3 linked regions of the Caenorhabditis elegans genome follow. The protein of the gene in region 2 purifies or fractionates together with the protein of the main gene of each other region. This does not show direct contact. Each region holds a gene or a part of one and is shown on either strand. Other genes may lie near its edges.

Region 1 (4,096 bases), on a different chromosome or scaffold from region 2:
TATAATTCGTTAAAATTTGAATTTGACCGACTTGTCAATGCCGCAGCGACTGGAAACATTTTTTTTTGAAATCATCGTTAAATTTTGAGTTTACAGCATGATTATCTTGAGTTTTCAACTCCATTTAGGTATTTTAAAATCGATGGACGAAGAGATTTTTAAATTTTTAAAACCAAATCTCGCCGTAGTCCATGGACTTTAAAATACCTAAATGAAGTTGAAAACGCAAGATAATTACATTGTATACTCAAAATTTGACGGTGATTTCAAAAAAAAAATTGCCTTCAGCCGTTACGACATTGACAAGTCGTCGGTCAAATTTGAAATTTTAACGAATTTTTGGCCATTTTTTGAGCCGTCATAATTTTTTTTTGAGAAGTTTTCAAAAAAGTTTCATTATGAAATTCTGTGTTTTCAGACAATTTTGAGTCTAATGAAGCAATAAAAAAAATCGACTACACCGCCTATAATACACATGCTCGGAGAGTTGTAAATTTGAGACAAAAATTTTGAAGTTGTGGAATTTCTACTAATTTTGATGTTCTAAAAGGTTCAAAAACACTGAAAATTCAAATTTCGCGGTTTTTTTTCTTCAATTCAATCGAACATCGTTTATTGGGGGCACACAATAATACAAGTGACAAAAAGCTACACAAATCAAGAAATAACATGCTTCTGGTCCTCCTCCGCCTCCTCCTTCGCCGATTTCTGTTGCTGCACAGCGTCCTGCTTGATCTGCTTGTATTTCTCCTTTCTCAACTTGAATCTCCGATTCTGAAACCAAATCTTGATCTGCTCGGGCGAAAGTCCGATGACTGCTCCCAACTTCCGTCGCTCGTCAACCTTTATTGTGTCGCACTGCTCAAATCTGGTTCTCAACGCGTAAAGCTGAGAATCGGAGAACGGAGTTCGAGCGCCTCTCCGCTTTTCTGAAGGAGCTCTTGGATGCTGCTGATGCTGATGATGTAGAAAAGACGGCGGTGGTGGGATGAAGCCAGCGTGATGAGCCACCATAGGATGAGGAAACGAGGATGGGGAGAGTTGTGAGTACTGCTGCTGGAACCAGGCGAAGCATTGAGCTTGGTAGGCTTGAGCATGGGCTTGAACTCTGTAAAAAAAAAGGAATTTTCGGAAGAAAAGCGATCACGGAGATGAATTTTGTTGCAAATAAGCAGTGATCAAATTTTCCAAATAGGGATTTTTGCCGCTGTAAATTTAACATGCCAAAAAGAAGCTACCAAATTTGCCCAATTTGTGGCAATTGGACTTCTTGGAGCTGTTAATTTCAAAAAAAGCAGCTACCAAAATTGCCTAAATTTGGAATTTTGGCCACTGCTAATTGCGAAGAAGAAGCTTCGAAAATTGTTCAAAATTGAAATTTTTGAAAACAGTTAATTGCAAAAAAAGTAGCAAACAAAATTTCCTGAATTGGATTGTTAAGAGCTCTTAATTGCATAGAAGCAGCTACGAAAATAGTTCAGAATGGACTTTTCGACACTGCTAATTGCAGGAAAACAGCTACCAAAATTGCATAAATTTGGAATTTTTGGAGCTTTTAATTGCAAAAAAGCAGCTACCGAAATAGTTCAAATTGGAATTTTCGACATTGCTAGTTGCAATAAATCTACCAAATTTGCCCAATTTGTGCAAATTGGACTTCTTGGAGCTGTTAATTGCAAAAAAAGCAGCTGCTACCAAAATTGCCTAAATTTGGAATTTTGGCCACTGTTAATTGCAAAAAAGCAGCTACCAAATTTGCCCAATTTGTGCAAATTGGACTTTTCGACACTGTTAATTGCAAAATTGCAGCTACCAAAATAGTTCAAATTGGAATTTTTAGAGCTGTTAATTGCAACAAAGCAGCTAACAAAGTTTTTTTTTGCTAAAAATGCCCGTTCGCGGCCATATAGTGTGAAAAAGCTATATTTTGAGTAATTTCCCACTGTCAAAACTTATGGGGTTATTCAAGAAATGTTACTTGCAAAATGTATTTAAATACATGTTTTTAAATGTATTTTAATACAGTTGTGACGTAATTTTTCTACACTTTTTAATTTTCCGACGCTAATTGAATAACCCCATTAAAATTAGCGGTTCTTCACGCATTTCGGTAGAAAAACGTAGTGAAAATCACTCTAAAACGCCCGTTTTGTACTGAAAAGTATCGAAAAAACTTACAACATATCATTCCCATTATGAGCCAGCTGTTGTTGATAGTAAAGCTGATTGGGATCCGCCACGTAGCACGGTGATGGAGCCTGATAGGCCGCCGGATAGGCTGGCGATGAGCTCATTGAGCCCGGAGAGCTGCTTGGCATTGTGGAATATTCCATTACAGTAGCATTAGTAATAGCAGAAGTTGAATTAAGATTCGAAGAAGACAAAGGATAATAGTCACCGCCGTTATTAATATTATAGTTGGATGATGACATTTTGTGTGGAATGAATTGGGGGAATTATAGTGGCTATTCTCCAGCTGGGGAGGCTGTAAATCTAGGCGGAGCATTGCTGCCTAGGTAGGCGGGGAGGCGAGAAGGTGCGATTTTGTTTGGCGGGAGACATGACCGGGAAAAGGTGACACCGGAGAGGTGAGATACCTGGGAATTGGGTGAGATTTTCCGGCTGTTCTTCAGAATTGTCTGAAAATCTGGAAAAATGTGAAGTTTTTCCACGGAAAAGCGAATTTTCGATTGATTCTTGTAGTTTTTCGTACAAATCGGACAATGCCAAAATTTGGCAGTTTTGGTACTTTGTGTTGGATTACGGTAGAAATTTTGGTCTGAAAAGCTTATTTTTAAGCCAATTTCAGTCAAAAACTGCAGTTCCGGCAATTCGGCAAAAACTTGCCGGAATTAAAAATTTCCGGCAAATTTGCAAGTTGCCGGAATTGAAAATTTCTGGCAAATCGACAAATTGCTGGAATTTGAAATTTCCTGCAAACCGGCGGAATTAAAAATTTCTGGCAAATCGGCAAACTGGCAAACTGCCGGAATTGAAAATTTCTGGCAAAATGGGCGATTTGCCGGAATTGAAAATTTCCGGCAAATCGGCAAATTGGCGGAATTGAAAATTTCCGGCAAATTGTCGGAACTGAAAATTTCTGGCAAAATGGGCAATTTGCCGGAATTGAAAATTTCCTGCAAACCGGCAAAAATTTGCCGGAATTTAAAATTTCTGGCAAATTGCCGGAACTGAAAATTTCCTTCAAACCGGCACATTGCCGGAATTGAACATTTCCGGCAAACGGGTAAAAACTTGCCGGAATTCGCCGAATTTTCCGAACAACAATTGCCCGCCTACTTAAAACTTTTAAAAAAGCAAAAAAGAAAAAAACAACTGACATAAAAATTATCTGATCAATAAGATATTGGAAAAAATGTTGAAAATTGCAAAAAAATATATCGAATCTAGGCATATAGTGCTCCCTAAACTACAACCTACAACAAATTTCAAATAAAATATACAAAATTTTGCAAAAAAAAGAAAAAATATAATTAAAATTCAAATTTCGAAATGTTAAATTTGAAAATTTTAGAGTTTTTCGACGAAATTACAACAAAAACACTCTGAAAATTATAAAAATCCTGGATTTTTTCAGGTGAAAGAGGCAAAAATCATCGCAATGACTTGTACACACGCGGCTCTCCGTCGAAATGAGCTCGTGAAGCTCGGCTTCCGCTACGATAATATCGTAATGGAAGAAGCCGCTCAAATTCTTGAAGTTGAAACATTTATCCCATTGTTACTACAAAATCCACAAGACGGACACAATCGACTGAAACGATGGATTATGATTGGAGATCATCATCAGCTGCCGCCAGTTGTACAGAATCAGGCATTCCAGAAATATTCGAATATGGAACAATCGTTATTTGCGAGATTAGTCAGGCTTAGTGTACCAAATGTGCAGTTGGATCGACAGGGAAGAGCCAGGGCTCAGTGCGTGTTTTTTTTTGGGGAATTCTTGAGAAATTCTACGTGAAAATTAAGAATTTTACGGTTGAATTTACCGAAAAACGATTTTTCGTGCGAAATTGGCAAATTTTCATATGAAAATTGCAACTTTTCACAAGAAAAATTTGGCATTTGAGCTCAA
Region 2 (2,998 bases):
AGTTTCGCTGAAGCATAATTTAAATCTTTCCTCACCATTCTGATCCTTTGTTGACCTTGTCGTTGTCATCCTTGTCCTTGCTCTCGCCTTCTCCCGATCCAACCATGCCGATCTTCCATCCCGACCCATCCCGATCCATCCCGTTCCATCCCGATCCATCCCGATCCACCCATCCTGATGTTCGTCGTCGCGTCTGTCTGTAAAAATGTAAAATGTAATGTAAAAATGTAAAAAAGTAAAAAAAGTCTGTAAAAATCAGATTATCTGAAGCATCGTTTAATTTTTTTCTCGATTCATCCATCCCGATCCTTTGCTGTGGTCGTCGTTGTCGTTGTCGTCGTCGTTGCTCTCGCTTCCACCCGATTCCAACCAACCATCCCGATCCATCCATCCCAATCCATCCCAATCCATCCCAATCCATACCGATCCATCCCAATCCATACCGATCCATCCGATCCATCCTGATCTATCCCGATTTATCCCGATTCATCCCGATCCATCCCGATCCATTCCGATCCATCCTCATCCATCCCGAATCCATCCCGTCCGCCGATCCCAATCGTCGCATTTGAATCCATCGTTCCATCCCGATCCATCGTCGCTCGAGATCTTTTGAGTGAGATCTCGTTTCAATTCAACTCCATACTATCGCCACCTTTTGTCCATGTCTTCTTTCCGTCGTCGTTTGTTCCTTCTTCTTCTGTTCTGTAAAAATGTACTTTTTTAATTACCGGAAATAATGATTCTGAGAAGAAAGTTCTTCACATGGGGCCGCATATTCGAAAAGTTTGCTCCTGGGAAGTAGAAGAGCACGCGGTCAGCCGTCCCCCTCACTTCACCAGAAGGCCTTTTGGGCCTCCTGGGAAGAATGCCGGGGGCGGTTCATTCGGTCGGGGTATTCCGGATTAGCTCCGCCCACAAAATCGTGCCTTGTAAAACGATGTTTTCCATTTCGAAACCGTGTGATGGTTGCGGAAAACACAGTTTTGTAAGGCACAGTTTTGTGGCCGGAGCCATTCCGGAATACCCGACCGAATGAATCCACTGAAATATTTAGCTCTTGGGTTTTTTTTTTATCCTGAATTTTCAGAAATTTTTATTCAGGATTTTTTAAAAAGAAAAATTCGGGTTTGGCAGAAAAAAATTGATTCCAATATTTTGGAATCTTTGATTTTTGAGAACTAAATTTCGAATTTTTGAATCAAAAATGTTAAAAATTTTGAAAAAAAATCTTACGTTCTCGGTCGTCCTTTGCTGCTTCTTGCTGTTGCTTGGTGATTATGCAGGTGGTGGCGATAGCTTAGAATAGGAGTTGCTTCTTCATGTGATGCTCTACACCGTAAGAACTGCACATCATCACCCAAGTATTCCATAGAGCAAGAACCGCCCGATCGTATCGCAGTATGGGCCCAACATCGGTTCTCATTGTTCGTTAGGAACAGAAGTACTAGCATGATGTTGGTCATTAGCCTTTATTCGCTACCTCTGAGTACGGTGTATGATGTGTTTAAGCCTCAATTCCGATCTCCCGTTTCAGACAGTTGTCTTAGCGGTGTTATATTTAAACTTCTGTTTTTAGAAGTTTGATACTAAATGAGAAAATGATTGAGAAACTTCTGATTTCAGAAGTTTCGTACTAACTTTCCAACAAAGAGGGGGAGGGGGAAAGAGAGAGGGATGTAGCAGTGTCCATTGATTGTCCGAAGCACGAAAGACTGTTCCAGTAACAGTTCCAGAGAATCCATCCATCGTTCGATCCGGCGATCCATGTTCAAACACAAAGGGGAGCATGCATAACATAACAGGTGCAGGGATTTGGGAAGGGATTGGGGTGAGAAAAAAGAGAAGGAAAGTTGGAAAGCGTACTTCTTCTAGAATAATTATTCTAGAAGTCGAGTGAAAATTGAGTAAAAGTCGAGAAGAGAATTTCAACTCTTTTCTTTGGATTTTTTTTGTTTTTTTGTTGGAAAAAGGTTCTTTTTAATTTATAAAAATTTAGATCGGAAATCCGCTTCAAACACGATCAACTCAAACACGATCAACTCAAACACGATCAACCCGGCGTTTCCCCTGAGCCAAGAAAGAGAGAGAGCGTGATAGAGGCGGAGACACAGACAAAAGTGAGATCGTCTCCTATAGAGGGCTGCCGGAAGGGGGCGTTGTGGACCTGTGGGAAGAAGGGGGAGACGACCGCACGGGCTGTAAATGGGTACCTGGCCGTAATCTCAAAAACGAGCACAGTAAAGTATATTTTCAGTTAATTTCCTGAAAGAAAACAGTCAAAAAGATTGTTTAATGCAATTGAACAAATCTTTGGATATATAATAGTTTTATTTTGAAACTTTCCACTTTACCAAGATTTTTTGATTTAGTACTGAATTTCATTGATTTCTATTAAGTTCTTCGAATAATTTAAAATGCTTTAAGCACAGGCTCTGTGAGTAGTTATGTTAAGTGAATTAATTCGACACACTTGAACAAATTCGGACAAAAAATTGTTAGCCAAATATCTCAAATAGAATTTCGAAAAAAAATTGAAAAAATTGAATTTGAGTTTTGATGAAATTTTTTGAAATCAGTTAATTTTCAATTTTACTTTCAGAAAACATTTTTAAATTCCTGTGGCTAATCAGGTTCTAAAGCTTCGTCAGTCTTGACCAGAGGTACCCTTTTACAGTCCGTGGTTTTTTTTTAAATTTCTAGTCTGATAGCTTGAGAATTTGGAAAGTTCTATATTGGATAAGCAACTACGAGTTTTCAGAATGTTTCCAAAACTATCGGAAATCAACAGAAATCTTAACAAAAAATGTTGTAATACAGTTTGGGGATTTGAAAACTTTTTACTTATTTCAGAAACTGTTTTAGGAAGTTTTTAGAGTGGTGCAAGCCACTAGAAATAGAAAAAACAGATTATATCTATTTTGAAAAAAAACCCATTTTTTGATGACGCTTTGAATTATTTTGATACTATTTTTCATAATCAAAATCAAAAAATTCT
Region 3 (3,034 bases), on a different chromosome or scaffold from region 2:
CATATTTAGCAATAATTTCACAGTGAGTAATTGATTTAAATGGGGAAAAACTCATATTGGCTCTTTGCTCTATCGAACTCCGAATTTCTTCATGGCTACTGTACCTAAAGAACTGTAGCATCTCAATTAAACTCGTTTTCGATGTGCTTTCCTCCCTGATATTATCTATTGCCCAGACTAATGATTTCATAAATTATTTGGGTGCCATATGAAATTTTAAAAGTTAAAACTTGAAAATAATTCAGTTCAAAAAGTTTCCAAACCTTAATAACTTAAATTTCAGAATCATCAAGGTCAACTTATCAATAGTATTGATAAAAAGAAATTCCATGTTCTTTGGAAACAATTCTTCCATTCAGAAGATCCATCTAGCCCTGGAAATTGGCTCTTAGGAAAAGTTTAATTGAAATAAATACCTATAATGTATTATTCTTGACTAATTTCGTACCGGTGTGTTTTTTATTTGAAATCTTTATAGTTTCATTCGATTTCTCCTTTCCCCTTTCTCCAAATTCTTTCCCCAATCCCCGCAACATACATTTAAATCACTTATACTTCCATATGCAATGAGCTTTTAAACGATTTATTGTCGTTATTCTTTCAATAAATAAAACTAATCGAAACTTAACTAAGTTTACAGAAAAAAAAATCAAAAAATCAAAAAAAAATACACAGTGGTCTGTTTATACTACAATATAGTAGAAATGGAACCCGATGAGAAGGGGAAGTCGTTGTGAGACCCGTTTAGACTGTAACAGGAAAATGATGAAATGATGTGAAGAAGTGCAACAATTAAAGTAGATCAAATATGGTGATTCTAACCCATTACAATGTTTCCACCAATTCGTCGACTCTGAAAGTATGAGAAAGTAAGAACATGTTTCAGATAATTAATAAAATAAACAAACCTTTGGACTTTTATGATGTCTGTGAGAAGGAAGTCTTTGTTCAAGAATATTCTCTAGACTTGCAATATTTCGAACAGCGTTCTGTCGGATTACTTCAAAATCTCGAATATCATAAGCCATTAGAGTGCAGATTGCATTGCAAAGAACAAGAAAATAGATGAAAATCCGCATTATAGAAGAAAGCAAAGGGTGTATGAAACTGAGTTGGTGTCACCCACAGAGCAAGTCCTTTATATGTCGCATGTGCCAGATTAAAGCAGACGACGACTTGCTCCGCCCATTTCAGTACTTTCTTCTCGAGCTCCGCCTATTTGGGGGGAGGAGGATTTTGCTGGAAATCGGATGAATGATAGTAGGGTGGTAATCGGATAATGCAAATAAAAAACATTTTAGCAGACATGTTCAAATGATGACAGAGAGACATAAGCGGATTTTAATATGACAGATGCTTTTGACATATATCATGAATAATCGAAACAATGTTCAACGCAGTTTCTTTGCGTGGGAATGAGAGGTTCAAAAGATATTATGATATCATCTAGGAACTTGATGGTCCGAAAAGATAATTTTATTAAATTAAGAACGGCAAAACTTTTGATTTTTTTTTCAATTTTTAGAGCTTTTGGATAATTTTTCAATTTACTCCAATATGAAAATTGCAAGATCCATCAGCTGCTAGCACCCACTTCGGAACGTCTTTAATTGGTTTACCAGTCTGTGGAGTTTACGCTGATTCTTCCAGGTGAAATTAAAACAGGGAGACAATTAAAAATTTAAATTGTTTGTCATAAGCTGGACTTTTAGAACGTTTTTTCACAATGATTACATAAACAATCGTTCTCTTTAATTTTTAGGCTCTTCGTGAAATGCCAATTTATCTCAAAAATCGTTTTTATTCCCTTAGAAAATATTTATTTGATTTGAAAAAACATTTTCATTTCCTAGTAGACACATCTATTTCCATCTTTACTCGTAATCTTTCGCCTTTTTCGCAAAATTCAAGACAAACACGGAAATCAGATTTCCTGTGGTTCACAGTTCTTGGAATTTGTTTAAAAGATGTTTAACTGTTTTTTCACGATGAATTTTTGAAGATTTCACATAATTTGATACGGTACTTTTAAATTGGATTGCTTGTCGAGGCATCATCGCACTCATCAAATCTAGTTGTGGGTGTTTGAAGTTTTTAATAAGCAACTAGTATAGTGGGATCTTCAAGGATTTAATAAAGAATCTCAAAGCCAGTTTGTCCGAGAATTTCAAATCAAACACCAATCCGTATCCAGTTTTGACCGATAAAGTACTTAATTTATTGCAGATTTTCTCGTTCACATACCTCACTTCAAAATGGTAAACAAGATATTGATAGGGTGTGAATTTTTAAATAAATTCTTCTTGGATTTGTATTATTATTCTCCTTATCAGAGAAAATATATGAAGGATGAGTTAAATTGGTTGCATGATTTCTAAAGACTACTGATTGTGGGAGAGTCGTCTTTTTGTTGATAAATATATATATAATTTTTGAATAGCACAAAAAACTTTATGTCTTATGGAAAGCTTTTCCTTTTAGTCATTCTAGCACAATGGAGTCTTAAAAAATGATCTAACTGCTTTATTTGGTAGAGATTATATTCATTTCTACAATAATCTTTTTTAAAAAAATTATATAGTTAGGGGGAAAATTATTTTCAGACAGAATAGGTTTTTTTAAAGTTTGTTTCAATCAAATACAAATACAAATACAAAATAAAAATTAAGTGAAATGAAATATGTTTACTAAAAATACACAGAAGAGAACTTTGAACTAGAACAATTGATCTCGGACATTTTTCAAACCATTTTTTTTCCTTGAAAAAATCGGAGCCGCTTTGATCACGTTGGGTGAGACAAATTCAGTTTTTTCTCGAAAAGTTAAAATATCCAAAAGGCTTACTGAATGTTTGCATAAAATACCCTTATAATTTTGATTTTTTTTTTAAATAGCAGCCAGACATAAGATAGCTACAAAGTTTCTGTTATGAAAAGTTGAAAATATGATGTACTTTTATGCATATATGATTTTCAGTGCTCAAAGGAGCAATAACCGAAAACTCATTCTCATCTTGTTTTCATTTTTTGATGTC

What was found.
Region 1: the proteins of Y49E10.30 (region 2) and ceh-51 fractionate together in Caenorhabditis elegans (co-fractionation; one large-scale study listed by BioGRID). This does not show direct contact.
Region 3: the proteins of Y49E10.30 (region 2) and T09A5.14 fractionate together in Caenorhabditis elegans (co-fractionation; one large-scale study listed by BioGRID). This does not show direct contact.

What each region holds. Positions count from the first base shown.
Region 1 is NC_003283.11:18,872,469-18,876,564, reverse strand, and holds ceh-51 (Homeobox protein ceh-51), read right to left. Parts: upstream 2,433-4,096; coding exon 2,179-2,432; intron 1,109-2,178; coding exon 658-1,108; 3' UTR 583-657; downstream 1-582. Other genes in the region: emb-4 (Intron-binding protein aquarius), read left to right, coding at 3,599-3,939. UniProt on the Caenorhabditis elegans protein: Required for mesoderm development, including specification of muscle and coelomocyte precursors.
Region 2 is NC_003281.10:12,385,353-12,388,350, reverse strand, and holds Y49E10.30 (uncharacterized protein), read right to left. Parts: upstream 1,455-2,998; coding exon 1,237-1,454; intron 706-1,236; coding exon 630-705; downstream 1-629.
Region 3 is NC_003280.10:7,830,436-7,833,469, reverse strand, and holds T09A5.14 (Neuropeptide-Like Protein), read right to left. Parts: upstream 1,117-3,034; 5' UTR 1,080-1,116; coding exon 909-1,079; intron 854-908; coding exon 818-853; 3' UTR 567-817; downstream 1-566. Other genes in the region: cex-2 (Calexcitin-2), read left to right, coding at 284-403.